Linked DNA regions of Yarrowia lipolytica. The protein of the gene in region 2 interacts with the protein of the main gene of each other region in a pairwise test. Links are inferred from orthologs where the notes say so. Each region holds a gene or a part of one and is shown on either strand. Other genes may lie near its edges. The genes, in order: YALI1_F21583g and YALI1_D28825g.

Region 1 (15,623 bases), on a different chromosome or scaffold from region 2:
CAGAGAATGGTTTCAAGGGTCTGAAAAGCCGCAAATATACATATACAATATATTCTCGTGGAAAACCCCGCTCCGTTGTAGCAATAATATTCCCAGACACTTCCCCTCAACAACCCTCTGAGGTGAGACTCTGCTCCCATTCAAGGGCCGTGTTTACCTATGCCAATAAGCAGGCATGACCAGGCATGGTACGAATACAGCTGTAAGCGCGCCAGTGTGGTCAAAGGAATGTTTTCACATGTTCGAGCGAGTACTTGTGGCGTACCGAGCGCAAGTTCTGCAGACAGCAAGAGATCGCGAATACGAGTGATACAGTACACACAAGTTCGATACAAGTCCTACTCTCCACCTTGTACTTGTCCACTTGAACGGTATACTGTACTCATATCGAACTTTGAGACAATGACATCATAGACTAAAGTACCCCTCAAGACGGAGACTCTAACGCGTGTCCCATACAGCATTCTACAAGTACAGTACATAGTGTACCCAAGTCGGCCGACAATTGCTGTAGCGTGGGTGAATGTTGAAAAGTGACGTCATGCGCTTTCTCAAGCTCTTTCTCAAGCTCTTGTAAGAGGAGGGGAACCACCATGCAGCTTTTGGGCATCACATGACTGGTGCCCAGAAAACGGGTGGGGAAAGGGTATGCGAGCTATCGTATTGATGTATACGTGGAGCAATTGTTGTCTAATTTTCCCGCTGAGACCTCCATACACGTGTGTGACTTCTTTACTCCCACGTGACCGGGCCACATGAGCTCCCTCGCAAGGTTATTTCCAGTCACTTGCGGTGGGCTGTTTTTTAAGCTCCGTCGGGCAACTCTAAAGAGTTTGATGACCCAGTTGCGGGCTGGGCAGCACTAAACATGCGAGATAGAAAGAGGAGCGTGGTGATATTGAAGGGTAAAATAAAGGCAAAAATAGGCGCTGCTGTGGGCGGAAAAACAGCCCCGAAACGGATGGCGGAACGGGGAACACGGCCCCCGTACACCCGGCCAGTCTCCGGGGCCGTTAAGAATGCCCTCACATGCGGGTCGCTTCCTTCCACCTCGGCTTCTGCAGTCTTGAACAGATAAAATTTGGGAGAATTTTTTTTTTTCTCGTTTCCTTTCTCTTTTTGAGTTTGGGATTGTGAATTTCCACTCAAGCCTTTTTGTTCTCGGCCGTTTGGGAGGATGAGGTAAGCACACTCGGCCAGATGATTGGTCGCCCCGCATCAGATAGACAGCCCAATGATGCGCTCCAGACAAGGGAAAAAAAGCCAATGTGCGAGGGTGTTAAGGGATTAAGGTAAGGAAATAGAGATTCAGTCACCACTTTAGCATGAGGGGAAAAATGAAGACATAAGGGGGGTAAGCATGGATGGAGCTACGATAACGTAAGGGTTCTTAGCGAGCGACGGGGCGTGGAACGCGACTGGGGCGGCCCACACGGCGGCCCAGGGTATGGCGCCGGAATAAATATTGCACCAAACCTGCGGTGCATCTTCAATAGAGTTTCCAGACAATGATCCGGTGGTGCGCGCAGGCTGTGAATTGGGCCCGTATGGTATGTTAGTGTTAAGTCTAAGCTGAGGTGGTGTGAAACACAAAGCTACTGCTGCGGACATGAAATAAAACACTACAGTAAGTACGGAGGTTTTCTTTCTTCATCTGCTCCACCTTAGTGCAAGTTACTCTTGATACACACAATACACACAATACACACAATACACACAATACACAGACGATACCAATCGATACACACAAGAGTAAACCCGACACTTCAACCACAACTACGACCGTACATCGCTACACCGCTACATCCACAAAGTCCCACACCGCCATGGAAGACTTTCTATTTCCTGGAAAATCAGGACCCACCACTGGCATCACCCGCAACCCCGACGATGCCATGACGGTAGCAAAGGGGTTCGAGTGCGACTCGCCCATGCAGCTCAACTCGCCACCAGCAGAGCCCCAGACCGACGATGACAACGACACAGACATGAACGCAGAAACGCAGTCGCCACAGAAACCGTGCCAGTACACCTCGCGATTCGCCAAGGCAAACACTTTCAACAACCTCAAGGCGGACGAACAGCCACAGCCCGTAGACGTGCTTGGAGGAGGAGCAGGCAAGGGACACTTCTCAAGGCTGTCGCAGACACTCTCCAAGTCGTACAGAGATAGTGACTATACGTTCCGAGAACGTGTGCCCTTTGGAGAGTCCGACGAATATGTCCCCGGCATGGACTTCACGCAGCAGCAGGGCGACACCAAGAGCGACGCAACCACCAACCTGTCGGGACCAGCCTCGGTGGCTTCTCCTCGACGTTCGGATACCGGAGAGTTCAGGGATATCAGCACGGGCTCCAGTTCTGTCGACCTCGCTGCTTCGGCCGCTGCTTCTGTAGACTGGAAGTCTTTGCCCTTCAGCACCCGAAAGAAACTGCGATCTGCCATTGCCGAGATGCAGATGTCGCCCCTTAACACAGTGTCGTCGCCTATGTCCATTTCGCATAAGGATGACCATATTGCAAACTCACTGTTCTCCCCGCAGTCGTTTGGCCAGAACTCCTACGGCGGCTCTGTGGGTCCCCCTCCCGCTATCCCCTTTTCCAAGCGACGGTCTCGAAACAACACCCTGCTCAACTCGACCCAAGACTCTGCTTCTTCTGCAGCCTCTTCGCCTGCTCAGAACTTTCTCGCCAAGTTCTCTTCGCCCTCAGTGTCTCGGTCTGCCTCCGTGAACATGGGCAACATGACTACCCTGGGCAGTCAGCCCGAGGGAGTGGTGGCCGGAACCCCATCTGGCAACGCAGAATTTTCTCTGACTGCTGACGCACTCACTGGTGAAGAGATTGGACGATACACTCTGGGACAGAAGATTGGATACGGAGGGTTCTCGGACGTTTACGAGGCCGACTGCAAGTCTCTTCGTGGAGGAGAGCCCAACAAACCCAAGGCGTGCAAGGTGGTGAAGAAGAACGCCCGGCTGGCTGCTCGAACCAGCGAGTCTGACCTCTCCAGTATGGAGTCTGCTGACTCTTCTGCCTTCAACTCTAGACGCAACTCCAACTCTGTTGGCAGTATTAACGATACAAGCCGAAGTGCAATTGTCCCGTCCGAGGAACATTTGCAGATGCTGCAGGAGGTCAACATTTGGCGCACGCTTCGACACCCTAATGTACTGGATCTGGAGTATGTCTATGAGGACAACCGAGCCATCTACTGCTTCACCTCCAAGATTATGGGAGGAACACTGTTTGATTTGGTCAAGAATAACCGACAGGGCATTGATGTGGAGACTGCTCGACAATATGCCTTCCAACTGGCTTGTGCCATGTCGTACCTACATGAGTCCATGCACATTGTCCATCGAGACATAAAGCTTGAAAACTGTCTCTTGGACCCCCAGGATGATGGTTCGTACAACCTGCTGGTGTGCGATTTCGGCATGTCTGACTACATCAACCAGGACGAGGAGCATGAGAACTCTCGACGACAGAACCGACCCATTGGTCCCTCCACCTATTCTTCTACTCTAAGAGGGGGCACTACCACCGCCAATGGTACTGCTACTCCTGTGCCTTCCACTCCCTCTTCTCAGGGAGGCTCGGTGAAGCGAGACAACCTTGGCTCCCTTCCCTACGCTGCTCCTGAGCTGCTTTCTACAGCCGAGCCCATTTACCATCCTTCCGTCGACATTTGGTCCTATGGAGTGGTGGTCTACGCCCTCCTGGTAGGTAACTTGCCTTTCACCCATTCTTTTGTTCCCAAGCTTCGAGGTCTCATTCAGAACGCTCAATGGGACCGGGAGCTTCTTAAGAGCAAGCTGGGTGACGGCAACGACGACTGGGTTGAGCTTCTGGAGAAGTGTTTGACCGTGGATCCTGAGGAGCGTGCCTCTATTCGTCAGGTTCTGACCTCCTCTGTTTTTGAATCTCTGGCTGAAGCCCTTGTTAGTGACACTCAATAGAGAGTGACCACACTCAAAACCAAAAACAACAACCATCGCTACTAACAGTCTTTTGCATGTGTCAACCTTTTACATAGACACCTTATGAATAATGAATATATTGCATGAAACAATAATAATACACCCACTACCAGTACAGTCCAGTGCTCGTACTGTATATACTGTAGGTATATTACATACAATACACCGTAAATTTTAGATGTTCTTGTCGTTTGTTACAGATGGCATAGCATATGGTTTCTTTCAAGTGTCAGAAGCATACATCTTCGCTCCAGTCACTCTGTCATTGACAGATATCATAAATACTAAATATAAACTACTCAGACACTTCCTTTCTCAAGTCCCGGACATCTTCTCTCACCTTTTTGGCCTCGTCAATCACCTCATCAACTTCACCTTCGAGCACTTTTTTCTCAGCGTCCTTTTCCAGCTCATCGACCTGGATGCTCGTCTTATTTTTGTCCTCCTCCAAATCCTTGTTTCCCTTTTTCAGCTCGTCCAGCTCCTTGAGAGCCTTCTCAGCCTTTGCTTCGGTCTCATCAGCCTCTTTTTGAATCTCCTCCTTCAACACGGCCTTCTCGGCCTCATCTTCTATGTCCTTCACCGTCTGGTCGGTCTTGTTGACTCGACTGGTGCCTGTTTCGGCCTCATTGTGTCGCTCCCACAGCTGTTCAATATTGAATCTGGCAAGTCCCTCGTACTCCTCAACGTTGCCAACAACAGACATTCCAATGGAGGCCTTGAAGCAGTCGACGAGAATGAGCTTGTCGTAGTTCTTGAGGTCGACAGAATGGCCGTGGTCCTGGCCCACTCGAGAAGCGACTGACTGGATAACCTCGTCTCGGTTCATGCCGTCGAAATTTCGCATCGTCGGTCGAATGGCGTACTTGAGCGGTTTCTGACCCTCCTTCAGGTGAAAGTGGGGACCCAGAACAATATCACACAGCTTCTCCAGCTCGGGCTTGCTAGCACTGCAAGTCAGAGTGACGGGAGTCATACGCTGAACAAACCGAGTGGACTTCTTTCCAGTGTCCTTGACTCCTTGGCAGATGGCCTTGACAAAGTCCACGGGCACCACGGGCTTTCTGGTTCGCACAAATAACATGCATTCACATCCCAGAGGCAATGGAGTGATGAGATCCTTCTTGGTATCCTTCATGGCAGCCACCTCGGCAGCCATGGCCTTATCAATGTCGTCCACGTCTTCAATGTCGTCGCCTTCCTCGTCGTTTTCCACCACAGTCGTTCCATACAGCTTGTCGCACCACTCGTTCATCATCAGTCGCACCTCGTTCTTGGCCATGTTTTCCTTGCCTCGGGTGTAACTTACGTACACTCCCTGGTAGCGGGGTTCCACATTCTTGATGGCTCCGGGCAAGTACCGCGCCTTTTTGTTGCGCTTGTTGGCGTCTCCTGATCCGCTTCGTTTGCCCATGATGTGTTTGTATAGTGGTGAGATGCTGGTCCAAAAAAAAACTGAAAAAAGTTTAGATCGCAGATGATCTTGCTGGAACTACTGTACAACTAGTGCCGGAGCTATGAGAGCTGATGTTGAACGGTAAGCAATAGGGCGAATGTTGAGAGAATATGCAAGGCGTATGTTCAAGCCAATCTGATTTTGTTGGCGGAGTAACATCGACAAAGCAAGACTATGGGAATGAGTGTTCTCTCTAGCTGCCCAAGTATACGTTTTTTTGGCTGCTACTGTTGCAGAAGTGAAACATCGGGCGGTAGAGGCAGGATTCAGGCGAAGACTATATATAATCTCTCATACAACACTGAAGCAACAATTTGTTGATCCAGCTGCCTATACTTGTACACTACCACTGGCACCCAAGTATCAATGAGTTGTATATGAGAAGTATTCTGGGTACTGTACAAGTTGTCGTATGTATATTCTCTACTAATGTTACAGTATGTACAGTACCTACTTACTGCAACTTTCCTTGACCGATACTACTGGTATTGCACCAGTACAATACGATATCTAGGGCACACAATGGACACCCTGTCTACAACATCTCTCATACAATCGTAAGTAGTTTTAAACTCTTTGCTTATGGTCGCATACGACGACCGATTTTAATAGTTCACGAATAGATTACTCGCAAACCTCCTCCTTATCTTCGACAACAACCTCCTTGATCTCCTCGATGGTGGTGTACTCGGACTCGGCAGGCTCGGGCTCGACAAGACCCAGCTCCTCGAGCTTCTTGTCAGTCTGGGCTCTCCAGGCGGTCCACTCCTCGAGCAGTCGCTTCCGCAGCATGATAAGCTCTCGAGAAGCCTCGGAAGCCTCCATGGCGTCGATCTCCTCAAACTTTCGAGAGTACTCCTCCAGGTTGTTTCGGATATCCTTCTTCTGCTGCTTGGAGAGCAGAGTAGGGGGTCGGGGTCTCCAGGAAAAGTGCTTGAATCGGTCAATGGACTCCTCTCGCTGCAGCTGGCCTCGGAAGTCCCAGATCTTGTATCCGTTTTCGGTGTGGTGTCTCCAGTAGGAAGACCAGGTGGCGACAAACCGTCCAGAGGGATCCCACTCGAGAGCAGAGATACCGTAGTGCTCGGACGAGCCGAGGAAGTGCAGGTTGGCAGGAAGATCCTTGTCACCGTGCTTTCGGTCACCCTCGTAGTCCATGTCCCAGAAGTCGAGATCGATAGAGTTAGAGCCCTCAATCATGACAGTGATGAGGAATCGACCGTTAGGGGACCAGAACAGAGAGTTACAGTTCTTCTTGTCAAATGCCTTGATCAGCTTCCATGTGCCCTGGGTTCCCTTGTGTCGCTCAAGAGCGTAGAAGGACAGAGTGTGTCGGTTGGCGGGCAGAGGACCGTCGTAGTTGGTGGTGGAGTCCGAGTTGGAAATGGTGACGAATCGGTCTCCGTGGGGCTCCCAGGCCATGTTGGTGACGGTGTCCTTGAGCTCCATAACCTCGACGGGCACTCCTCGCTCGCACAGTCGGAAGAACTCGAGGTTGGTAAAGGTAGACTTCTTGGACTTTGTGTGTCGGTCGACCTTGACGCACAGGAAGCGTCCCTGGTCCTGCCAGTGGATCTTACAATCGGCCACGTTGAACAGGTTTCGGGTTCGCAGCACCTCCTTGTTGGAAGCCTTCATGAGGACCACTCGAGCGGTCTGGTTGCCAATTTCAGGAGTCCAGTAGCAGAGAACAGACTCAGTGGCGGACTTTTGTCGTCCCTCCAGGTTAACAAGAGCAGGAGCCCACTCAAAGTCGACGATACCGGGAGCCTTGACGGACTTCTTATCCAGCAGAGACATGGTCTCGGTCTCGTAGATAGACAGCTGCTCTCCGGGGATCATACGGGCAGCGTACTTGTCGTCAGGAGAGAACTTGAGAATGGGCCAGGACATAGAGGCGCCCTTCTTCTCCGGGGGCATAGCAAAGGTTCGGACGGGAAGTCGAGTCTCGAGGTTCCATACAATGATCTGTTTGCCCTCGTCAGCGGGGCCAAAAGGAATGCTCTTTCGCTTCTCCTCGTCATCAGGGAGAACGAGAGGAACGTTAGACCAGGTGACAAGGAACTTCTCGCAGGGAGAAAACTGCACCATCTTGACGTTGGGATGCTGGAATTTGCAGATAGGAGGAGCCCAGTCGGGGCCACCCCACAGCTGAACACCTTGAGTATGAGTAGACACAAGGTAAGTACCGGTGGGAGACCAGTAGACCTGGGTCTCGGTCCATCGCTCTCGGTCAACGTCAGCCTCCAGAGTATCACCCTTTTTGTTCCAGAAGACTCCGACTGTGTCTCCTCGATGGAGCACAAACTGGTCTCGGCCCTGGGGGTCCATGAGCCAGCTTCGCAGATGTCCCTGTTCCACAAAAGGCTCGGTCTCGGGCTCGACAAACTCCTCGGTTTTCAGAGTGTCGTACTGCATGCCGTACTTCTCCACCTCGGACAGCTTGTTGACAAGCAGCTTATGGTTCTTGTCAAACTGCTTGTTGTGGAAAGACTTGACGGCAGCAGCAGCCATCTCGCCCGTCTCGTACTCAATGAAGACAAATCCGGTGGACTTACCGGTGGCCTCGTCGAAGGGAATAAAGATGCCGTCTTCCTTGATCTTGCCAACAGCGCCAAAGAACTTCTTCATGACGTTGGCCAGGGCTGCCTGCTTGGCCTGGGGAATCACAGGAGCTCCATCGACAACGATGAAAGACTCAAAGCCCTCGTCCGCGTTGACAGCGTACTTCTCCTCCAGATCGGAAAAGTCAATATCGAGGTTATCCTCCACAGTCATTTTTCGTGGTGGTGGTGGTGGTATGAAGGGCCTATAATTTTACCCTTTGATTCAAATCGCACACGCAGCTTTTTTTCACCAAGAGAGGGTAACACAAACCTTAATGTTAATGGACCCAGCATCAGGATCAGGACCGAGCTCATGTGCATACTGTACAGTAGTTTGTTTTCTGGTGGCTATTAGCAATACCGTGGGTTGGTCACGTGATATGGATATCATGGACGCGAAATATTGACACGTGTGTGATATGAGGGGGGTGCAGTTTTCTGATTTGAGATCGGTGCATTATTAGACAGGTTGAATCGTTCTCTGAGAATGAGTCGGGGTTGAGTCGGGGTTGCTTGGTGCCATCTGTGAGAGTGAGTGGAATAACAAGAACCGGTAATTGTGAGCACGTCTACAAGTAGGTCGAGCGTGTAACGTATGGAAGAGTTGCGGTTTTCAGAAGTGGTCATAATTAACGACAATATCAGATATCAGTGTTTGTATATATTGTACTGAAGTCTGTACTGAAGTCTTGTTTGGTTTACTTGGATCAAGGATCTTAGTTAACATTATTAAAGAATGTTTGTTGAAGAATGTTTGAGCAAGCTTGGTCTATCACAAGTACATACCGTCTTCGTACCGTAAGTACTTCAATCGTATAAAACAGTATTTCAATAGTTTCTTACTGCTTTATTTTTGGTACTTGCAGTCTCCAAGCATCTCTCAAATAGACAGTCCACTCATGGACCAAGTGACGAACAGTCTCGTAACATCTGATTTTCTTGAATGCAAATCAACGTGGTGGTGCAAGTACAAGTACAAGATACAAGTACAAGATACAAGTACAAGTAGTCATAAGCCCCCTCCTTCAGGAAAAGTCCCCAGTAGCGCTTTTTAACCCCTCCACCCATGTATAATCTGCCATCTGAAACACCGATTCCTCTAAGAGAACATATGCCAAATGACCTTTGTTGACCTTCTGTCGACATCATTAAACAGGTTAAATGGGCTCTCCATAGCCGTCCTAACCTTTAAGAGCCAAGGAGCAGTCTCGTTCGGGAATAAGACTCTATACTGGTGGCAATTGTACTTGTACTTGTACAGCAGATTTATTTCTACCCCCTGACAAGTCACGTGACCGCACTCACAGGTATATCGAGCCAAAGCCCCCAAGCTACAATGGACATACAAGTACAAGCAAGTAACCTACAGTCGAGAATGTCATGATTCTTCAAGTCACGTGAAATGAATATGCACGAGAGTATAAAGTTAAAGGACTCCAACATAGGGAGGACTTTCTCGGTTACTGTACGTCCCCACGTGTAGTTCGTCTCCTTCCCAAACTCATAACCTGTGTTGTCCTCCCCCAGAAGTTAAAACTCCAGCACAACCCGTGATTTAAAGTTTTCGCTTAACCGCACCTTTGACCAATCCAGATAAGACCTAGGGCCTGCCAAAAGATACACCATTGCTATACACCGCATCACGTGGGAATTATTTATCATACACGTGACCAATCTCTCCAAAAAGGAGATTTCCAGGCCGCGTTTGACACGACATTAAACCCTTCGGGTTAGGGTTTCCGTGCAGTGCAGCATCTGTCGAATGCTGAAACGTGCAACGTCTTCGGTCTCCGATAATTGGATAATTCGCCTATAAGTCCCTTGCTAGAACGAAATGAGCGAACGAGACGGATTTCTGGAGCAAGGTGGACGCGACTCTCGTGACCACGTCCACGACTATGACACACGTGAGACCTCTCAACATCGACGTCCCTCTCACAGCTTCAAGTCCGAGACCAAACCCGACAAACGGTATCTATATGCTGGAATCTCGTTGGTGGTCAGTTTGATCGCGTTTGTGGCTCAGACCGAGACAGCCGGCTACGTGGCTCATAACCTGCAGTACAAGAAACCCATCTTTATGCTGTACCTGACACATTCGTCGTGGGTCTTTCTGTTACCATTACAGCTGCTGTTCATCAAGATCTTCAAGCGATGGAAGACCCCATGGAGAGTCTTTCTGCGTCGGCAATACGAGCTCGTGTTGAACACCGCCCGAGCCACTCAAGAACACGCAGGTGACTTCTCCGGTCAACATCCGCTCAAGTATATTATGGTCACATCTTTCTGGCTGTTTGTGGCCCTGTCTTTCGCTGGATCCTCCTGGTACATTGCCGTAAACCTCACCACCCCCAGTGACCTGACCGCCATCTACAACTGCTCGGCCTTCTTCGCCTATGCCTTTTCCGTGCCGATGCTGGGAGAGTCTCTCAAGCCTGCCAAGGTGGTCAGTGTGGTGGTCGCTATTATTGGTGTGCTCATTGTGTCTTACTGGGACACTAACGAGGGAGAAGGCGAGGTCTCTTACCCCCACAGAGGTATCGGAAACCTCATTATCGGAGTGGGAGCCATTCTCTATGGTCTCTATGAAGTCATGTACAAGAAGCTGGCTTGCCCTCCCAACACCATCTCCCCACGTCGTCAGGCTGCCTTTGCCAACGTGGTGGCCTTTTGTATCGGTCTCTGTACTCTGCTGTTCCTGTGGCTGCTGCTTCCCATCCTTCACTGGACCGGCCTGGAGCCGTTTGAGCTGCCCCATGGATCAGCTGCCGGCATCATGATTGCCAACATTGCGTCCAACGCCATCTTCTCAGGTGCTTTTCTGATTCTCATGGCCCTGACTTCTCCCGTTATCGGATCGGTCGCTGCCCTGTTGACCATCTTCCTGGTGGCTATTGTCGACTGGCTTCTGTTCGACACGCCTATTGGAACTGGAGGCGTGATTGGAGGTCTTATCATCATTGGAGCCTTCATCATGCTCAGTTACGCCAGTTTCCAGGAGCTCGGCGAGGAGGCAGAAGATAGTGATAGTGACGACGACATCATTTAAGAGAAGGACGAACTGGGGGATATGACAAGGAATAAATAAAAAGGGGGTAACGCTACAAACTGTACATATTGTGTGCAATCATTACATTAATATGCTTTCCAAAAGGCCATTCATGTCATCAAGGTGGCAAAGAACTGTGTATCACACTGTTCTGTAGTAAGATACAGACACTCCCGGTAGAACATTTATTAACGACATATCCATACAACAACACTACTGGCATGTACTTACTGCCCCTACCTCCTCTTCTAGCCACAGGTGGTTCAGTAGCAACTCTCATATCGTCCAATGTCTCCTTGACTATATACATATCCTCATCTCAAGGCTCACAGGCTCTTGTCTAACATCTCTTTGTTGATGCACATATCCCTATCGCTTCCTCTAAGCAGCCTTGGTGACGAGCTGCAGACCGTGCCACTGCTTGATCTCGTCAGCAAGCAGAGCGTTTACCAGACGATGTTGCTTGACCATGGGGATGCCCTTGAACTTGTCGGACACAATCTGGATGGCAAACATGGAGCCGCAGCCGCCGGAAATGTCCCGCACATCCAGACTCACGGGTTTGAACTCGTCGGTCAGCATCTGGCTGATTTGCTTCTCGTAGTCGTTCAGCTCGTTTGGACGTCTCCACGAGGCATTTCGCGCAATCTGAGTAGTGGAGAAGGGTCGCACAAACGCGGGTCGGGCGGCAAAGAGCCGGGAGTTCATCATTTGTCGCAGCATTGTGTGTGTGGGTGTGTGTAGTTTTTGATGCGGAAAAAGTAATTTGCAGTGGTGATGTTTCAAGGTGGTTTAGGTTGTAGTCCCAACCGAACAAGTAGGTTATCGGGGGGCAAATATCGGAGGGGACAAGGAGAGTAATTAGTTGACTTAGTAAGCATTGCAGAGGTGAAATATGGATGTCACATGATACAGAAAGGTCCGCTGAGTAATATTAATGGCCAAATCTCCTAAATTGTCGATTAAAAGCGCACTTTTAGGACCCATCTCTGAACACCCCGCACTGCGCTCTCTGAACCTAAATGCATGCATCATTACAAATGCTCTCCCGTAATTTGACAGACAAGGGTGTAATGATGAGATGAGAAATGTCCAAGTAGTGTACTAGTTACTTGGCTGACCATAAAGATGGAGAATATACAGTCTGTAGACTCTTCGAGGGCATTGTAGTGTGCATATTAGAGTTTTTAATTTCTTAACTAATTATCAACTAAATTATAAGAAAGTCAGTTTGGATTTCCACCTTCGATTAGTAAGAATAATACCTCTCAGAAATGCAAAAAAAAACGCACTAGCTGAAAATACAAATGGACTCGATTGTTGAGCACTTAAAGAGACAGAGCTGTTTGCACTTCTTTTTATAGAAAGCCGCGTCAAATGCAACTATTGTAGACATTGTAGACCCCCGCCTTCGCATCACCACCACTATCAAACTTTCAGATTAGCTTTTTTATTTTTCACTCTGACTACACTCGACAGAAATGGGAAAAAGCAGCAAGGACAAGAGAGACATTTACTACCGAAAAGCCAAGGAGGAGGGCTGGCGAGCGCGATCCGCCTTCAAACTGCTTCAGCTGGATCAGCAGTTCCACTTGTTTGACGGTGTTCAGCGAGTTGTGGATCTGTGTGCTGCTCCTGGGTCCTGGAGTCAGGTGCTGAGCAGAGAGCTGTTTGAGAAGCGAGGTATCGAGGCTGGCAGCGGTAAGACGGTGGCTGGGTCGACATTTGGAGGCAAGGTTGTCACCGGGGAATCTACTGCTCAAAAATCATCCACCATGGAGAAGGCCAAGATTGTGTCTGTTGATCTGCAACCCATGGCTCCCATTGCTGGTGTCACCACTATCCAGGCCGATATCACGCATCCTCAAACTCTGAAGATGATTCTGGACGAGTTTGGAGGCGAGCCTGCCGACTTTGTGTGTTCTGACGGAGCTCCCGATGTCACTGGTCTGCACGATCTCGACGAGTACACACAGGCACAGCTGATTCTGTCTGCGCTTCAGCTGACCACCCAGCTACTGAGACCCGGAGGAAACTTTGTCGCCAAAATCTTCCGAGGACGAGATATTGATCTCATGTACTTCCAGCTGGGTCTGTTGTTCGAGCAGGTCACTTGTGCAAAGCCCCGATCTTCCAGAGGCTCTTCTCTCGAGTCTTTCATCGTGTGTCAGGGATACAAGCCTCGATCGGGATGGTCTCCCGATCTCGCTACTGGCGTCATGGTCAACAAGGAGCTCCCTCTGCCTATTTCCGAGCGGGTCGTCGCTCCCTTTGTGGCCTGTGGCGACCTGTCGGAGTACGACTCAGACGCTACTTACACTCTCCCTAGTGGAGAGGGAGTTCGAGTCAGCTTGGACCCCGTTCAGAGCCCTACTTGCCCACCATACAAGCGAGCGGTCGAGATGAAGAGAAAGAACTAGAGGGATATATAAAAGAGAAGGATTGGGATGCATTTATAATAGATTTATTGATTAGTTAATACGGGTGACTGACTACTACAAAGTGAAAGTCTCACATAGCTCGAATTCTCGGCTGGAATGACCAATGTACACGGAATACTCGCCTCGCTGCACTCTCCAGCTCTGCAGTTCCACGTCCCAAATGGCCAGATCTCGCCAGTTGAGGTTGTACTCGGTCATCTGAGACTCACCAGGGTTCAGGAGCTTGGACTTGTCGAATCCTCGAAGCTGCACCGGAGGAGAGTCGATAAGGGTTTCAGGGAAGGCAACGTACAGCTGAGAAACTACTCGTCCAGCAACATCACCGCAGTTGGTGGTGTTGTGAGTGACAGTAACAGCGTTAGACCAAAGCCAGGGGTGACCACCCACTCCTCCAGAAGCGTCACTGACATGTCCAGCTCCATTTGCAAAGGGGAACTGAGTCTGAGAGTCCGCGAGGGGCGCACTGGCGTTGAGAATCCAAGGGTAAACAAGACCGTCAATCATTTTAAAGTCATTGGGGACATAAAGGTCCTCAATGTCGATATTGGTCATCTTGGGTTTAGTAACCTGTACAGGAACAGGCCGGGGAGGAAGGAACTCACTAATCTCCTTAACATCAAGATGCAGATTGCTGAAGGAGTAGGTGGTGTATGACAGACCGTAACCAAATTCGTAGAGGGGAGTCCTTTCAAACTTGTCGTACCACTTGTAGTCAAGATAGATTCCCTCCACAAAGTCGGACTGGGGAGCTCCATCTCGAGGGATCTTGGTGACAATAGGAATATAATCAGAAGTATTTGCTGCGATAGTATAAGGCAGCTTTCCTGAGGGATTAACCTCTCCAAATAACACATCAGCGATGGCTTTTCCTCCGTAATCACCAGCAGGAGCAGTCAGAAGAACGGCACTGATGTTGGGGTGGTTGAGCCAAGCGGTCATGTCAACTTGTCCAACCGTAGTGACAACAACGACAGTCTGTCCCTGACTGGCAACTGTATTAATAAGTTCATCGCCATTGTGCCATAGACTGACATTTCGGCGATCCCCAAGGTTCTTATCAACGTTGGCAGTAGACTCTCCTGAATTTGCCAATACATAAACAATATTCACGTCAGTGTCTCCAGCCAGCTCAAGAGGAAGTCTCATATCCCATGACTCGGTGGTTCCTGTCACTGACACTTCAAGTAGAGAAGCCTTTTTGTGGAGAGCTTCGTAAGGGCTTTCGTACTCCGTAGGGTAAGCAGTTCCACTTCCCCATCCTTCGATAAGAGCTCCGTCTGAGCACTGCATGTTTTCCCCACAAACAGCTCCATTGGGGCCAAGTCTAGAGCCGACTCCAAATACTCCAATAGCGGAAATGTTCTTCAGGGGAAGAATACCGTCATTGAAAAGCAGAACAACAGCTCCTCGAGCACTATCAAGAGCAACATTGGCTGCAAACTGGTCTCGCACATCGAGATGGTAGTTGGTGATAACATCCTTGACTTTCTTGGAGTGCTTAGCAGCGGGGTGGGGACTTCCCACTGTAGTGTCGACAAAGGAGGAGAAGTTGGGTGTTCGATCGTCGATCCCAAAGTAGATGAGAGGGGTCAGAATTCGCAGAACCATATCATCGAGACGGGCTTCTGGAAGGGTACCGTTGGCAACCATTCGGGTCAGCTGTTCTCCCCAGAAGACAGTTTCTAACTCATCAACGTCATTTCCAGGCATACTCATGTCCATTCCAGCCAGAGCGTTAGACACTCCGCTTCCCTGAGCAAACCAGTCGGACATGACAAAGCCCTGGAAACCGAGCTCGGACTTGAGCTTTCCGTTGAGCAAGTCACTGTTCTGGCAAGCCTGGGTTCCGTTCACGTAGTTGTAGGAGCACATGACTGAGCCGACATTAGCCCTAACAGCATCGGCAAACGGCCACATGTACAACTCATGTAGAGCTCTGTCTTCAATGTTGGAAGAGACGGCGTCCTTCAGGTCTTTAAATCCAAAGCCGTCTCTCCACTCTTCGGCTCGCCGGTAATGTTCTTGTTCGTTTCCAATGAAGTGCTTGATGGTTGCAAGAACTCCCTCTTCCTGGACTCCAAGAATTGC
Region 2 (15,846 bases):
CTGGATCAGAAGACCGAAGCTGGTGGAACTGCAGTCAACAACACGGAACGGCAGGTTCAAATGGTGAGGTCGCTGTTGGGTGTTCAGTCTATGACAAGTGATACGGAGATTTATCAGGAGGAATTGTGGTTGAAAAAAGTGAACGCAACAGTTTTAAATGATGCGGAGGCTTGTGATTCTGGATCGAGACACGCCATCTCGTGGATCATGTTGCCAATTGGATATTCTCTCCCTCCTATTGGTGTTCAACGACTTCAGATCCAAGTCAATTCCCGCTACAGCTATTGTAGATTGGATTCGGAAACACATTCAGCGTGGTTTCTCCTTGATTGGGAACGGGCCAAATCGTTTCTACTGTTCCAGACAAAGCTCATGAGTGACCAGATAGCTCTTCATGTCTGTCAGTACACTGGATGTGTGTTTTTCACCTCCAGATCGAGTCTGAGAGTTGTGAAGCTGTTTCCACGAGTTTCGAATCGTCAAGTCGCGTGGTACCATGTTGCCCAGACAAATAACTTACCCAAGTCGTATCTATCAGACAAGTATGGAGTTGTGGTGAAGGAGGGAAGCGAAAGGACTTATCTAAAGCACAAGGGGAGCATTCTACTGGTTGGTAGACACGAGGGAAAGACTCAATGTTGGAAATATAGTCGTCCCTTCCTCACCAAGCTCGACCAGTTCGTCAGGAGACATTTCGTGTCGTGGAAGAACCAGTGTGAGGACTGTCAGGAGTGGAAGCGGTGGAAGAGAGACTTGAGCGGCTATTTCTATCCGATAAAGAAGAGGAGGAGAGATTGAGATGGAGGGGAAAATTGGACTGAAGACGCGCGCGCAGTTCAGTTCCAGTTGGAGTGTCGTGAACAACTGGAGAAAGAAGAATCAAAGCAACTGACATTGTCTTTGGAGTGTACTGCATGTACTTTACTGTACTTGTACTGTCCCGACTCTGTGCTACAGTACCTGTAATGTTCAGTCAGTGAGTATGTGAAGTGGGTATTGTCCACACAAAGTCGAGACAAGTGGACAAGTCGAGATTCAATTCGAACTTCAATTCGAACTTCAAGTTGAGATTCAAAGGCGACATTCCAGAACTCCTTGACGAACACCAATCCCTGCTAGTTGTTGCTTCAACCACTGGTGTCTCTCATTCCATGGATGCTATTCATAATTGATCTCATTCCACGTTGTAGTGTCGCCCGTTTCACTTTCACCTTCCCTCCTCCGGTGAGATTACTTGCAGTGTACTCCATTGGCCATGTTCACGGCATACAATTCATTTCGGCAGTCAACCACAGTTATATCTGGTTGCATAGATTAACACATTCGATTCGATATTGATTCATATTCTATGCCAAAATCAATATATAATACCCGTCCGTACCTCGAAAGCTCGTTATCCAGTTAACTTCATCATGCAGCTCAAGACCCTTGCTATCGTCTCTCTCTTCTCTCTGGCCGCTGCCCAGCAGGCTGCTCCTAGTCCCGCCACTACCATGGCTTTCACCCCCGCCGACTCGGCCGAGAACCCCGAGGACATTCACCAACTCATGAAGAAGAAGTGCCCTGACGAGAAGTGCCCCAAGCCCAAACATATCACCGTCACCAAGAACATCACCAAGGTGCAGTCCAAGACCATCACCAAGACCATCAACTGTTGAGCAGGAGATTGTTGGACGATGAAGAAATATTTATAGATTCTAATTGATGTACTGATAGCTGTATAATGTCTTTTTCCCCTAAAAAACTGATTACAGACTCGTATTGTCTCCACTGAACTCGTTTGGTCAAGTAGTCGTTTCATTCCTGAATCACGATACAAAGTTGAGCCCCCCCTTTCCCCCCCCCCCCCACGAGGTCTGATTGGAAGACGCAATGGCTTTGAGATATGGCTTTGAGAGTTGTGCAACTTCAACGTTGCCTGTTATGCCACTGTATTGGAGGTATTTTATTGAACATGTCTGTTGTAAATATTCCTGTAGCGTCACTTCTCATTTTTCATATCCTGGACTGATGGTCGTTTGGTCCCTGCGTCACCATACCAACTGAAGTTGTAGCTAGAGATGTATATCGAGCCTTGAATGAAGAAAACGTGTCACCATTCTAAAGCTCTTACATGTATTCATCTGATAATCAACCCTCGATCCCTTTTTGGACCCTGTACTGCGAAAACGCTTGTCTTTCACGTGTTACATATCTTCAACATGATGGATCTTCAACGTTGGCGACGGTTTCAGTTGGGTTACCGCAGATGGCAAGTCTTTCAGGAATGAGTCCTACTCGTCTGACGAGTTGGTAAAGTCATCATTGAAGTAGAGATGATGGACTTTAGAACCAAGTAGATGCCACCAACACGGCAGAACAAGTCGGAATTGTACTACAATGTACGTCTCTTCCAGGGTGATGATGGCACTACCTCTTAAGTTTTTCCCGTAGACGTTAAAAGTGACTAGATGGCAGATCCTACGTTGTGGTTATGTAGATGAACAGGAGTTGTTCAGACTGACAGCTTTGTCAACGGTGTTTGAAACGGTACAAGATCGTACAGAGACAGTCTACTCAGCCACTGTTGGTTCATGAGATCACGTGACACTAGCATGTACTCCTTTTCCAGGTTTGGGGTTGAAATGATGCCATTGAATCAGTTGATCAGTTGAGGGGGAGTCTAGGTATATGTGCGGTGCAGTACATGTACACTTGAATATCCGATTTTTCTGTTCAAAGTACTCAACTAAACTCAACTAAACTCAACAAATGGATCAAGTAATTGTCGTCAATTAGTAGCGGTCCGAGATGGCCAACTGATCTTGCAGCTGAAATGATCCAGTAACAGCCCTTCTGTACATCTAAAGTCCAAATACTCGTACCAATAAGATACGCCATCGCACTACCACCGTCGCATTTGCTCAGTCTCGCCTGTCTCCAGTCAACCGCCTGCCGCCATGTGGAGAACAGTCTTTCACGTTTTTGAAAATTGGAGCTGAAAAGTGATGAGAATTCTTCTTATTAACCACATAGACCTTTCGATAACACAAGATGACGTCCTCCTCAATTACTACAATCATGGCATCTTGGGGAAATCAACATATCGATGTCTCCAGCCATGTGGACGTTTACTGGGGGAGTGTCCTGAGAAGTCGACAGTTTTTGCAACCACATTGAAGATTTCGGGGTCATTTCGAGGTTTTATTCTGGTAATATCGACTCGGAAAGGCTACTTGGAGCCAGGGGCAGGACAGTGTAGAACTGATGGAGCCAAGAGTCCAACCGTGAAGAGTCCAACGATGGAGAGACCAAATTGAAGAGTCCAACGATGGAGAGACCAAATTGAAGAGTCCAACAATGAAGAGTCTAACGATGAAGAATCCAACCATGAAGAGACCAAAAGGTCTTTGTGCATTTACTGACAGATAATGTGTTGGAAATGTATATTCAACCGTCTTGGATATTGTGAGGGGACACTACGTCTTCAAGGGCTGGGCCGGTACTGCTCGCTGATGTTCAGGTACCGGCCCAGCCCTAATCAGCGCATCATAAGCAGGTCCTCGTCCCTGCCAATAGAGTCCTATTAATGTCTTGGTTGCGTTGTTGCAATACGAGATCCTTCCTCCTGTCTGGCGTCCCAACTCGACCTCAACCCACTCCAAAATGTAATGATACCACTAACTAGTTACCATGGTTAGTCGATCCAGGACACAGCTTCCCCGAATACACAGTCAGAGCAGCTGGAGTCCCCAAAGACCTGATCTCATTGTGACAACAAATCTTCTCTTTCCAACTTTTCAGCTCCAACTGAGACCCCACGATACCGGAACAGATTTCCCATTGAGGGAAAATATCGGAAATGTTTGGGCACTGTTGAAGATATGGCCTCGAAAAACGCACATTTGCCGTTCTAACATACAACAGCTACAATCATATGCAACAGCTACAATCATATATATCTACAACCCCCACTCGTCTCATCCGATAACACAGCTGAAGAACCAACTGTGACCTGGGGAAGATACCAAGTGCGCCGGAATTTGTTCTCACCTCCTTTTTGACGGAAAGATCGCCTCTGGCGTGTTCAATTTCAACGTCCGGTAGGAGTTTTACCATGTTCTGGACATGTGTTTGGAGAGCCACCTCTGAGCATTGTTGAGATACGGTTAGGTGATTTGTTAAGATATAGTTCGGTGATTTGTTAAGATGTAGTTCGGTGAAATTTAGTAGGGAACAAGTAATAATTGTGGGTGGTTGTTTTGTGGTTCTAGGATGACCAGGATGGGGGTGCTGGTTCTATATTTGCACATTGTAGTGTTTGATTGATTCTAGGACATAACACGGTTGTAAAAAAGAGCCTCCTTCCATCTTTGGTCGTAAAAGTGTTGTCTCCACTTCGTGTTGAGGCCTAGTTAACATTTAGTTGACACTTAGTCGAGTGGTCCGTACAAGTTCTTAGAACCGCTGGTATGTGGCTAAATGATTTGAAATTGGTATGATCAGACAGTTCTCAATACTGTAATTCAATAAATCAACTTTTCATCTCGCCATAGTTTCTCTAGAATATTCTGTAGCGTTCTTGTTCTCAGTCTACCCTCCACTCACCAACTCGTAATATCAAAACGCAGCTACAGTACTAATCAATAACTCCGTCCTTTTCTTGGCAATTGTGATATGGATTTTATGCTCATTTTTTTCTTTTTATATACTTTTATGTCCATATATTTCTGTTTTCAGGACATTTCAAGCGCCAAAATGACCAATGTACCTACAGCCTCAAACAACTGAGACAACCGCTATGGAGATAATGTCAACGGTGAACTGACGCAAGGTGAATTGAGGCAAGGTGAATGGAGGCTACGATGAGTTGAGGCTGCAATGCCGCTTCCATAGGTATATATATCTACCCATTGACTCATTATCGGCACACACTCTCTTTGACGATACTCTCAAGATGCCTACGGGTTGGACTGACGAACATGAACAGTATGTGGCTACATATGTCTTGAACCACATGAAAGAGACGCCTTGCGACTCGGCCAGATTTCTCATGCGACACTTCAAGTACCAGTTCGACATTAGTGATCTCATTTTCCAAGTTTGTCAGTGGCAGGGGTACTACAGGAACAACAAGAGCAACTTGGGGCTTAGTTGGGATTAGTTGGTAATAGATCTGTTGAGGAGTAAACACTGGAATGTAGTTGATAAGTTTGTTGGACTTTGAATAAAAGTTTGGGATGAGCATGTGTAGTAGATGGACCATGACACTAAACGTGTTTAATTAGTAATATTCGTGTAAGCGTACATTCATTTCAAAGGTTATTCTTTCACAGCAAAGTTATAATTAAAATGAATGGTATATGCAGAAAAAAAAAAAAGTAGATGCGGACTTTGCAGGATATATATATAGGCAAAACTGGAGATGGTCTGGAAGATCTGCTGACATTATTGCCAACGTTGACTTCCCTAGGTAACGAGCCCCATAGTTGTGTCATGCCGCTCGGGATGAAGAGTTAGCAATTTCCGCAGAGCCCCGTATCAGAAAACCCAGGCTTTCTTGTTCACTGTGTCAGATAGTGGGGTCACAACACAAGTTGATGAGAAAGTCCAACTCAGTACGTAGAGCTCAGCGTAGTGATCAGAAGCAGGAGTGTGCTGACATGTCTTATTCCGTTCCCTCCCAGGACCTCTCCCTAGAATCTCCGTCCATCTTTTTCTTGCAAACTCTCTGTTTTTAACATGTTCCGTCTGGTCCATGAGAGTGAGAGTCCATGTGTCAGTGATCTCTGTCATCGTATGCATATGAGATGAGTGCCAAGCCGCTAAGCGAAACCTCTCAAAACCGGGTTCTAGCTGCTTGTAGAAACATCAAAAGTATCGTTCCCTGCTTGATCGGTACATGTAATTCATATTACAAGCATACCGCATCATTGGTTCCTGTGTATATGTAAGACAGGCGTTCGAAGTATGTACAGTATTGCTGTAGTGCGGGGGAAAAAACTTCTTTTCGTGCCTGTGCGAATAACCCGGTTGGCTCAATGAGTATAGAAGTTGACTACACAAGCACAGCTGCTGTTGACTCGTGTCAAACGTCTTCATACTTTGTCTCATCAACCACCCAGAAAGTGTCGTTTTGGGGCCCGCTCTATCCTGTTTGGCCCACTAATGCCCACAATGGAGTGGCTGGAGGACTATATGTGTCGCTGCTGAAGACCATCTCTTGGAGACTGCAAGAAAAACGCCATACTCAACATGGACTTGGTCCAAGAGAGCAATTCACTTTCATAATCACTGCACTAGAACCTCGCAGCTCTAATTCCCCAACATCTGGTGAACCCGCCCCTCTCTCATTGAACGTCTTTCAGCCAGCTGAAATGAATCAGATATACTAAATTACTGCATATACTATACTAGTGAGGACTAGTGAGGACAGTCAGAACATCATTTTATTTGCTCCAGTCATCACTTGATAGTTTCTTCCAGTATCCTTCTGAACTTCCACAATTACTACCTGTAGTCGTCTCCCTAACCATTCTTTTAGTTCTACATTCTCTTTACAATCACCTCTCATGCCACTACAATGAGCTCAACTTTTCCCAAAGTCTACTAAATGTCCATCAAAGCACTCACTCAGAACTTTGGAACTCCTATAACATGCTCTATTCAACTATTCAGCACTCTCTTGCTGTCATTTTTGCACACTCACTTGCGCTCGTGTTTTCAGATAACTCCCTCGCCTATCGAGCTCTCTGCGTCTTTCTCTTCTGGGGCTGGGTCATCTTGTCAAACTGGTACCCGCCAGCCACGAGCCGCTCGTTTCGCTCGGCCAGCTGGATGACCTTGTCAGACAGTGCCACGGCGAGCTGCTGCAGCTTGGTCTGCTGGACAGCCTGTGTGAACACGACCGAGTTGGTCTTCTGGTCAAGAGATCCAGGAAGCTCCTCCTGGGCAATCATCTTGGCGACAATGGCAGCCACATCCTTAACGGGCAGCTGGAACATGTCGGCCAGAGTGCTCAGAGACAGCGTTGAGTAGTGGTTCCAGTAGGTGAACAGATAGGTTCTCAGACCCTCAATCTGGAGCTTGTCAGTGAGCATAGCCTTGATAGCCTCGGGGTTGGGGAGCAGGCTCCAGATCTTGATGGCACAGACCAGATCTCGTGCAGCCTCCCAGTCGCCTCGCTGCAGAGCCTTGGCAGCCTGCATAATGTGGTCTCGGGTGTTTTCGGGAGGGCCACAGAAGACCTGTCGCTCGTGGTAGTCGAGCATTCGTCGGAACAGCTTGGAAATGACCTTCTTTTTAGCGTCGATAGACGTGTTGTGGGCAGCCATAAAGGGGATCTCCATAAGCAACGACGAGCACAGGAACACGCACTCCAGCAGCTCGAGGTTGATGTGGGTGTGGAAGGGCAGCACTCGCTGCTTGTCGACAACTCCGGCCTGGGCGTACTTCGCCAGACCCTGTCCGAGCAGCTCCTTTAGTCGAGGAGAAGAGCAGACCTCCTGGAGCGACTGCTGGGCCTCGGCAATGAGTCCGCTTCGGAAAGCACACAGACCAAGCTGCACCAGGGTTCGGTTGAATAGCACCTGCAGCTGGGGCTCAGCAGAGGCAATGGACGACTGCAGATGGGACATGAGGAACATATCTCGTGCCTTGTAGTACTCGTCGTTCAGAGCGTAGTGGTAGACGTGAGCCAGCATGGCCTTTGTTCGGAACACAGTGTTGCTTTGCTTGTACAGAACGGAGCACATGTTCGAAATGAGCGTGGTGGGGTAAGTGGATGAGGTGAGGTCCTTCTCTGTAGGTCGAGGAGTGGCCTTGGAATCGCCCTTGACTCCACCCCAGGCAATCTGCTCAGTCATGTTGATGACATTGTTGGGCTTGAAGTAGAGATGGTCGACTCGTCGAACCAGGATTCGAGCGAGGCCAAGAGTGTCCTTCTCGTCGGAGACATGCTCAATGTACATCTGCACTCGGAGGAGAGTCTGGTACAGCTTGGTCTCGTCTCTCAGACGGTCCACGTACTCGGTAGTGTGAGGGTCCATGAACTGGAGGGCCTTGGTGAACTCGTCGTCCACACGCTCAACCAGAGAAGCCACAGAGCCGGGAATGAGCTTGACGCCGTCTTCCCGGGCAACGGGGCCCTTCTCAACGTCCTCAATCTCGGGGGCAGTCTCAATCACGTGATAGGTATCAATGTTCTCCTCGAGAATAGACAGCAGGTCGTTGAGGTCGCCCACAACCTTGAGCCAGTTCTCGGGAGCAAGAGCAGCAGACGCAGAAGACAGATCCAGACGAGTAGACACAAGCATGGTGTAGACAGAGATCTTCTGGTAGACGGTAGAGGCAGATGGCAGCAGGTTCTCCAGCTGTCGCACCTGGTCTTCCCGGTCGGTGTTCTTCTTACCTCGGCTCTCCAGAACGGTCTTGAGAGTCTTGAACATGTCGGTGGGGGACACAAGAGCCTTTCCAGCCTTGCCAACGGTGGTGAACTCCTCATTGGAAGCCTGGGAGGGAGCGGTGAGCACAAACTCATCCTTGGCCCGGGGTTTGGGCTTGTCCTCCTTGTTCTCTTCCTCCTCTTCCTCTGCCACGTCACCACCACTGCTGTACTTTGCGATGGCAGCCTCGTACTCCTTGTTGTTCTTTCGCACCCGCTGCTTGACGGTGTTGAATGCTCGCGAATTGGACGCGTTCATCTTCTTGATTCCAGCCTTGTCCTCCAGCTGGGTGTTGAGGAACTCCTCCAGCTCAACAATGCACTGGATGTAGACCTTGGGGGGCAGGCCATGTCGCTGCTTGGTGAACCGCTCCATGGCCTTGTTGAGCTTGTCAAACTCGCCCTGGATCAACACCCAGTCGTTGATTCGCTTGCCGTTGTCAATCAGCTTGGAGCAGTTGGCCAGCTCGGCAAGCAGCTTGTCCTTGGCAGACAGCACCGTCTTCTTACCGGTATCCTCCTCATCGTCCGAGTCGGCCACGGTGGACGACTTGAGGAAGTAAGATGCGCCCTTGCCGCCCAGGTCCTCGTCGTCGTCGCTGTCGTCGTCAGAGTCGTCAGCAAACATGGAATCGTCACTCATGTCATCGTCGTTATCATCTCCTCCGTCCTGCTCGTCCTGGGAAAAGTCGGAGCCGGACTCGGAGCCAGAGCCGTACAGATCCTCGTCCGAAGACGAGTCGTCGCTGTCGGAGCCACCAGCAAAAAATCGGGACATATTGCAATCGGTGTGTGGTGTTGTATGTATGTGGAGGAAATTTTTAGGTGGTCTGGGACCGCACTGATTTTTTACATCAGGGTAACCTTGCAGAAAGCTTATTACCTCCAAGCCAACGGCGTGATATCTCACGATTGGAAAGTCGCAACAAGAGAGACGAAACTTCCCTACACTTGCAATGTCTCAATAATGGCAGATATCCCTCGTTATCTCAATTTTCCAGCCTTGTCTAAATCCCAGATCGATCTCCTTCCACACCCATCTTGGACAACTTAATTTTTTTCAGTTGGGAGGGCTCGACTGAGATAAGACCTTTTGCTGGACTATTTATAGACGCAATCTTGGAATAAATTACATAGTCGTAATCCCCGAGAGACTGGTAATACAACCGTGTCGTCCACTTTGCATTTCGGCCACTTTTCGCCGTTTTCTAACCCCACTCGTTCCTGCCTGCTGTCGAACTCTATAATTTTCACCTCCCATTGATGTCCTCTGGTCGAATCACCCACTGTGCTTGCTACCAGTGGTAGTCTCACCAAGTCTCACCAACATCTGGCTGGGAGAAAGACAGGGTCCCGCAACACTGGTGCAACCATAGATGAATGTGAAATGGACCCAAAAGAACATCCGCGGGTTTCAAACCGCCAATGTTAACATGGATCAGAAGAAAAGAGAAGGATACAACATACAATTGACATGCCAGGGAAGAGAACACCTTACTATCTAGTGTATGGTACACCAATGTACCAATATACTTGTAGCGCGGTGAATTATGGGTCACGTGATGTGTCATACATCGCACCTTGAACCGCAGTTTCATCTGGATAAACCCATTACCTAAGCATCTAACCCTGTCATAACCTGCACGTACAAAGCTGTCAAATCTAGTACAAGTACAGACGAGAACGACCCACGGAAAAATACCCAATCGGCATGGTCACGTGATCCTGTCACATGACAACACACGCCCCCTTCCCTTACAGACCTCCTACAAGTACCCTTATCTCCAATCCGCAACTTGATCTGATAATGAACGTGATTGGTTGGACCCGCGTTTTTGTTGTTTTTTTTTGTTTTTTTTTTGTTTTTTTTTGGGGGGGAGGTCCCGAGAGAAGCGGCTCCTTCTGGGAGTCTCGTGACCCCCAGATCAGCGCGGGCCCGGGCCGGCTCGACTTCCTAGGGCTCACGTGACCCATCTCCTCTCACTCCTAGGGCTCACGTGACCCATCTCCTCCCACTCCCAGGTCCATGTGTTCAGTCCACGGCGGCGCAAAGTAAGGTTTGTCATATATACGAGGAAAGCGAACTTTTTTAAATTTCGTTTGGAGTAGCGAGAAGGCTGGAGAAGGGAGGAGGGGCGGTATTGGAGGGAGTCTCTGTTGGAGTGGGGGGTTGGGGTTGGTAAGACAAGCGACGCGCACAGATTGTCACGTGACTTCTGTTAGTAGTTTTTGTTGGGGTTTATGCTTTTAATTTCGGCTTTGGGGTCTTCAAAAGTGCGCCATAAACTGGCCCATGAAAAACGAGCCTCCTCTTATACTGGCTCTTTGACAGTGTGTATCGACCAGCCCAAAAAAAAACAAGGTGACAGCTCAAATTAGAGTTTGAATCAACCTTTGCCAACCCACACGCACTAACTCACTTGTGCCCAAAACCATCGTCTCTAGAGCCACTACTGTTGATTCACGACTCGGGGGCTTCAAAAACACATTTAAAAATGAGTGGACGTGAGTGACAGAGAGAAGAGAGAAGGTAAAGAGGGAAAAAGGAAAAGAGGGGGAAGCGGTCTATTTATGTGTTGAAACGATGCGACACAAAACCAACAACACAGGATCACACAAACAGAACGACACAAACATCAAGGATCCAAAAAATAACATCCGACACACACTCCTCAAAAGCCGATTCCAACGCTGCTTGAGCCCTGACTAACACAGTACGTATGCTCGATCTGGTGAAACCATTCCAGGCCATTCTGCCTGAGATTGTTGTTCCTGCTCGAAAGGTGAGTATTGTTGATCGAGAGACGACGATGACAAGTGGAGGACATTGAGGACATTGAGAGAGAGAAATGACAGGATGCACGGACGAATTCAAGAGATCTTAGTCTCTGATGGTACTGATTGACGATGATCAACCCCTGCCCAACATGTGTAACCCCTCAACATGTCCATTTTGAATCAACAACATGGCAAATGCGACCGGAATGATACCCGATGTGCTGACGCTAGCGCACTATAGGTGATCAGCGATGGTGTTGCCGATCCAAACGACCTCAATGGTTGTGTTAGGATCTCATCATCAGACGTTGCCACTGCAGATCAACTCAGTGCTGTAGCTCCTCTCAAAGCTACTTCCAGGTAAACGATTCTATTGTATTTCTGTGATCAACTTGGTTCACGTCAGTCAGATTGTCTCGCTAAGTTGCTTAACTGCTACCCTGCTCTCGGTTTCTACATACTAACCCAGCTCCCTTTTTACGACAAAATCGCCTACACTGTCGGAATCGCCATCACTTTTTTCATCATGGCCGGCATCCCGCTCTACGGCGCCCACGCCTCCACCTCAGACCCCTACTCGTTTACCCGAGCCATCTCCGCCTCTTCTCACGGCACTCTGATGGAGCTCGGTGTGGGTCCCATGGTCACCTCTGGAATCATCTTCCAGATCCTGGGAGGTTTCCAGGCCCTTAATGTCAATTTTGACATTCGAGCCGACCGAGAGCTCTTCCAGAGCGGCCAGAAGATCTTTGCTCTTCTGCTCACCTTCTTCCATGCCATCTTCCTCGTCTTCTTCGCTCAGACTTACGGTACCATTTCAACCGACTCTGCTGTTTCAGAGCTCTCTCTCGGAGCTGCGGTTCTAATTGTTGCCCAGCTGACCGCCGCTGGTCTCGTGCTCATTCTGCTCGGCGAGATTGTCGACAAGGGCTACTCTTTCGGCTCTGGTTCTGGTCTCTTCACCGCTCTGTCCGTCTCCCAAAACTTCATGTGGCAGAACCTTGCCCTGCTCAAGGTGCACCAGGAGTTTGTAGGATCCATCCCTGCCCTGCTCATGGGTCTGTGGAAGAACGGACTGTTCAACTTTGGCGGCTCTTACCGATACGTTATTGAGAACTCCTTCTTCCGACAGAACCTGCCCAACCTGCTGCAGCTGTACATGTCTGTGGCCGTGTTCATGCTGACCATCTACCTGAACACTTTCCGGGTGGACATCCCCATCAAGTCGTCGCGAGTGCGATCTCTTGCCACCGCATTCCCCGTCAAGCTGCTTTACACTGGCTCTATGTGCCTCTTCCTGCTGTCTGCCTTCTCCCAGAACGTTCTCATCTACTCGCAGTCTCTTTACGTGCAGTTCCCTGACAACCTCATGGTGCAGGTTCTTGGTAGCTGGGGAGCTGACGGCTCTCCCGTGGGCGGCATTGCCTATTACATCAGTCCCAACAACTTTGGATACGATGTCATCAAGATGGTGCTCTACTCTGTTTACACCATTGTGGGCTGCACTCTCTTTTCCAAGTACTGGGCTGAGATTTCCGGCTCCGCCCCCAAGGACGTGGCCAAGCAGTTCCAGGCCCAGTCCATTGTGATTGTCGGCCAGCGAGCCCAGTCTGCTCCCCGAGAGCTGGCCAAGGTCATCCCCGTGGCTGCTGCTGTTGGTGGAGCTGTTGTGGGCGCCATTGTGGCCTTCTGCGACATTTTTGGCGGTCTTGGAGCCTCTGCCGCACCCATGATTGTCGCCGTGACTTCCATGAACAATTATTTTGAGATTCTTGCCCAGGAGGGTGATATTGCTCAGATGGGCAAGGCTTTTGGAATGTAGAGTGGGGATTAGAGTAAAAGCCGTATTATGTATTAATAAACGTTTGAATTAGTGGGTGGAGTGGACATGTACAGGCAGATCAGTAAGCGGATGTGTGACTGGCTGGCTGTGTGAACACGAGTTGAGGATATGTTCAACCAAAGGAGATAAGGAGAGAAGGGATGTTTCATGGACATACAAGTACATACTTGTACTACAGTACAGCAAACGTTTTAGGCTTGAATTGTTCGGGGATATTTCTCGTTGGTTTTTCTCTCTCTGGTCGGTATCGCTGTCCCATTTAGAACATGCAACTGTACAAGTGCAAGTATGTTGGAGATATTGAAGAGTGAGTGGCAATTTTAGTGTTTGGAGTGATTGTTTTCGGCTGAAAAAGAGACAGTATTATCGGACTCACGTGATGACTTAATCAGCCAAAGAAATCACCTTTTGGGGCTCTTTCAAACTCCTTTTGAGACTGCCCAAATATGGGGTCTTTGAACTCTAAGTAGATCAAAGTTTTTCAGTGCAGTCAGTCGAGTAAAAGTGTTCTTTTGTGGGGCGCCAAATAGTGGGTGGCAGGCTGTAGATTACACGAAGTTACGGGTAGAATACTTGAGATTTTGGAGACACGTATCAGGTGAAGAATTCCTGTTTGTTTTGGTACCCACCTGACAAACGGGGTGGACTTGCTTTTGGCAGCACAGTACAGTAAAGTATGTACCTTTTGTGGGGGGAGGGGGTTTGGGATTGGGCATGGTCAGCTGGAGACAGTCTTTGCCTTGGTGCATGGGAGATCAGTATTGTGATTGTGATTGTAATTGTAATTGATAGCCATTGTTCGAACGAGGTCGTTTGCTTGCGGAGTGTCAGATCGAGAGTTACTCTTAGAGCCTCTTGCTGTTGTACTAACATTCAACTCCAGCGCTTAGTGGCACTACTTCAGAGTGGGCGTCTCTCTTGGTACGTCTGTTTCATTTACAGTGGCAATGTTCAACCTCTAGCTACAAGCATCAGTTTTTATCCCATCCGATATCCCAATGTTTTGACGCTAGGGTAAGAGAAGTGGAAGGGGATTCCAGTCCTTCATTGCAAGTTTGGCATTTGGTGCGAGTAGATTGTTTCTGCCAATTGCATTTCCCAGGGGCTTCACATGTTTGAAGATGAAGAGTTGTATTCTAGTCATTCTATGTAGGAAATTCTTAGAGTCTTGCTGAACGAATTCTATACAATAAGCCTGGTATCTTGACATGACAAGTTTTATCTGAAGTTGCCACAGTAAGGTCAGCGTCTGATATCTCCGAGTAACAAGAGCAGCTGTTGTAGTGTCATAATACCAGCAATCTTGCTTCAGAAGTATCCTCCAGTAGCAAGAGCAGTATTACAGTAGAACATCCGAACCGATCACCGATCCGCGGTGATGTCACAGACTCAAATCTCCCAACTGCGGCTTCTTGACATTTCGTCTCCAATTATACCGCTCTTCATCCCACTCCACTCCAAAGAAGCCCTTGTCTGGATCGGGGTAGGTATCGGCCTTGAGCCAGTCAGTGAGAGCCTGCTGGTACTCGGCATCCAGGGGGTGTTTCAGTGTATGATGGGCAGATCCAGTGCCTCTTTCCTTCTCTTCTTTCCGCAGAGACTCAAATTGGGTCTCCTTAGAAGGCAATTTCAATCTTCCAGACCACACTCGAGCCACAACAGCTGCTTGGGTTTCAGCCAGAGGGAAGGGCACCACGTTTTTGGGCATTCCGATGAACGCAATGGATGGGTCGTTGATGTAAAACAGCTGTCTGTAGAGGTTTCGAATCCGAACTCCATCGGTGATGAGGTCATCGTCTGAATGGTGCACGTAGGAGTGCAGAAAAGGGAACGAATACAAGTATCCAGTGCAATAGATGACCACATCAACGTCAGAGAGAGTTTGGGGAGACGAACCCTCCACTCCTGGAGCTCCCTCGACATCAATATCATCACCGTGGAACTTAGTAATCACACCAACAGTCTCAATGTTTCCCTTGGTGGGGGCATTGGAAGGCGATCTGGCAGAGACAATGACCTTTTTGGCGGTTTTTGCCGCCTGGTTGGCGATATCAATGCCGGAAGACGAGTTTCCAACCACCAAAACGGTCTTTCCAACATACGAATCCGGGTTGTCAAAGTACTTGGCATGCAGAACCTCATGCTTGTCTGAGTACGCCTTCAGACCCGGAACGTCAGGCACAAACGGATGGGAATAGTGGCCGGTGCATACGATGACGTAATCATATGTTTCGAGCTCGGGCTGGACGTTTTCCTTGGCATGGGGTCCGACGTACTTGGACTCCACCATCCACACGTCTCCCGTCTTTTTCAAGCCGGTGACCATGGTTTCAAACTTGAAATGGTCCACGACATGCCGGGCGTAGTCCTGCACGTACTGTTTGACAACCTGTCGTTTGGGAAACAAATCCACGCCCTCGGGGAAGGGGAAATCCTTGTACGCCATCAACATGTGGGGCAAGTTAGTGTTGAGATCTCTGTACATGGGGTTGTAGTAGATGATGGAGCCGTCCTTTTTGTGCTCAATGGGCTCTGCGGGCATGTCACGAGTGCATGGCAGGTTCGGTGTCGGCCGGGTCAGGCCGTTGTAATTCCATACTCCTGCTCCAGGTGCCGGTTGCTGTTCGTAGGCGGTGATTTTGCCAAAGTAATTCTCGGCCAAAAGCGCCTTGATGCACGGAGCCGCGCTGGGACCTCCTCCAATGATAGCCACAGACTTGAGATGTTTCATGGTGATTTTTCTGGCTGGAAAATGAGTGGATTGAGCTGTACTTGTAGAGAGTCAAAAGTGGTGATGACGCAC

Evidence for each region.
Region 1: the proteins of YALI1_D28825g (region 2) and YALI1_F21583g interact in binary tests that used the Saccharomyces cerevisiae proteins (3 or more experiments, as listed by UniProt). The link is inferred for Yarrowia lipolytica from reciprocal best matches to the Saccharomyces cerevisiae genes NIP1 and PRT1.

What each region holds. Positions count from the first base shown.
Region 1 is NC_090775.1:2,150,984-2,166,606, reverse strand, and holds YALI1_F21583g (uncharacterized protein), read right to left. Parts: upstream 8,218-15,623; coding exon 6,064-8,217; downstream 1-6,063. Other genes in the region: YALI1_F21647g (uncharacterized protein), read left to right, coding at 1,827-3,962; YALI1_F21612g (uncharacterized protein), read right to left, coding at 4,279-5,397; YALI1_F21567g (uncharacterized protein), read left to right, coding at 9,880-11,094; YALI1_F21547g (uncharacterized protein), read right to left, coding at 11,476-11,817; YALI1_F21540g (uncharacterized protein), read left to right, coding at 12,576-13,514; YALI1_F21504g (uncharacterized protein), read right to left, coding at 13,590-15,623. UniProt on the Saccharomyces cerevisiae protein: RNA-binding component of the eukaryotic translation initiation factor 3 (eIF-3) complex, which is involved in protein synthesis of a specialized repertoire of mRNAs and, together with other initiation factors, stimulates binding of mRNA and methionyl-tRNAi to the 40S ribosome.
Region 2 is NC_090773.1:2,873,235-2,889,080, forward strand, and holds YALI1_D28825g (uncharacterized protein), read right to left. Parts: upstream 9,201-15,846; coding exon 6,720-9,200; downstream 1-6,719. Other genes in the region: YALI1_D28726g (uncharacterized protein), read left to right, coding at 1-798; YALI1_D28782g (uncharacterized protein), read left to right, coding at 4,937-5,084, 6,658-6,710; YALI1_D28842g (uncharacterized protein), read left to right, coding at 10,918-10,927, 11,138-11,205, 11,670-13,022; YALI1_D28890g (uncharacterized protein), read right to left, coding at 14,425-15,774. UniProt on the Saccharomyces cerevisiae protein: Component of the eukaryotic translation initiation factor 3 (eIF-3) complex, which is involved in protein synthesis of a specialized repertoire of mRNAs and, together with other initiation factors, stimulates binding of mRNA and methionyl-tRNAi to the 40S ribosome.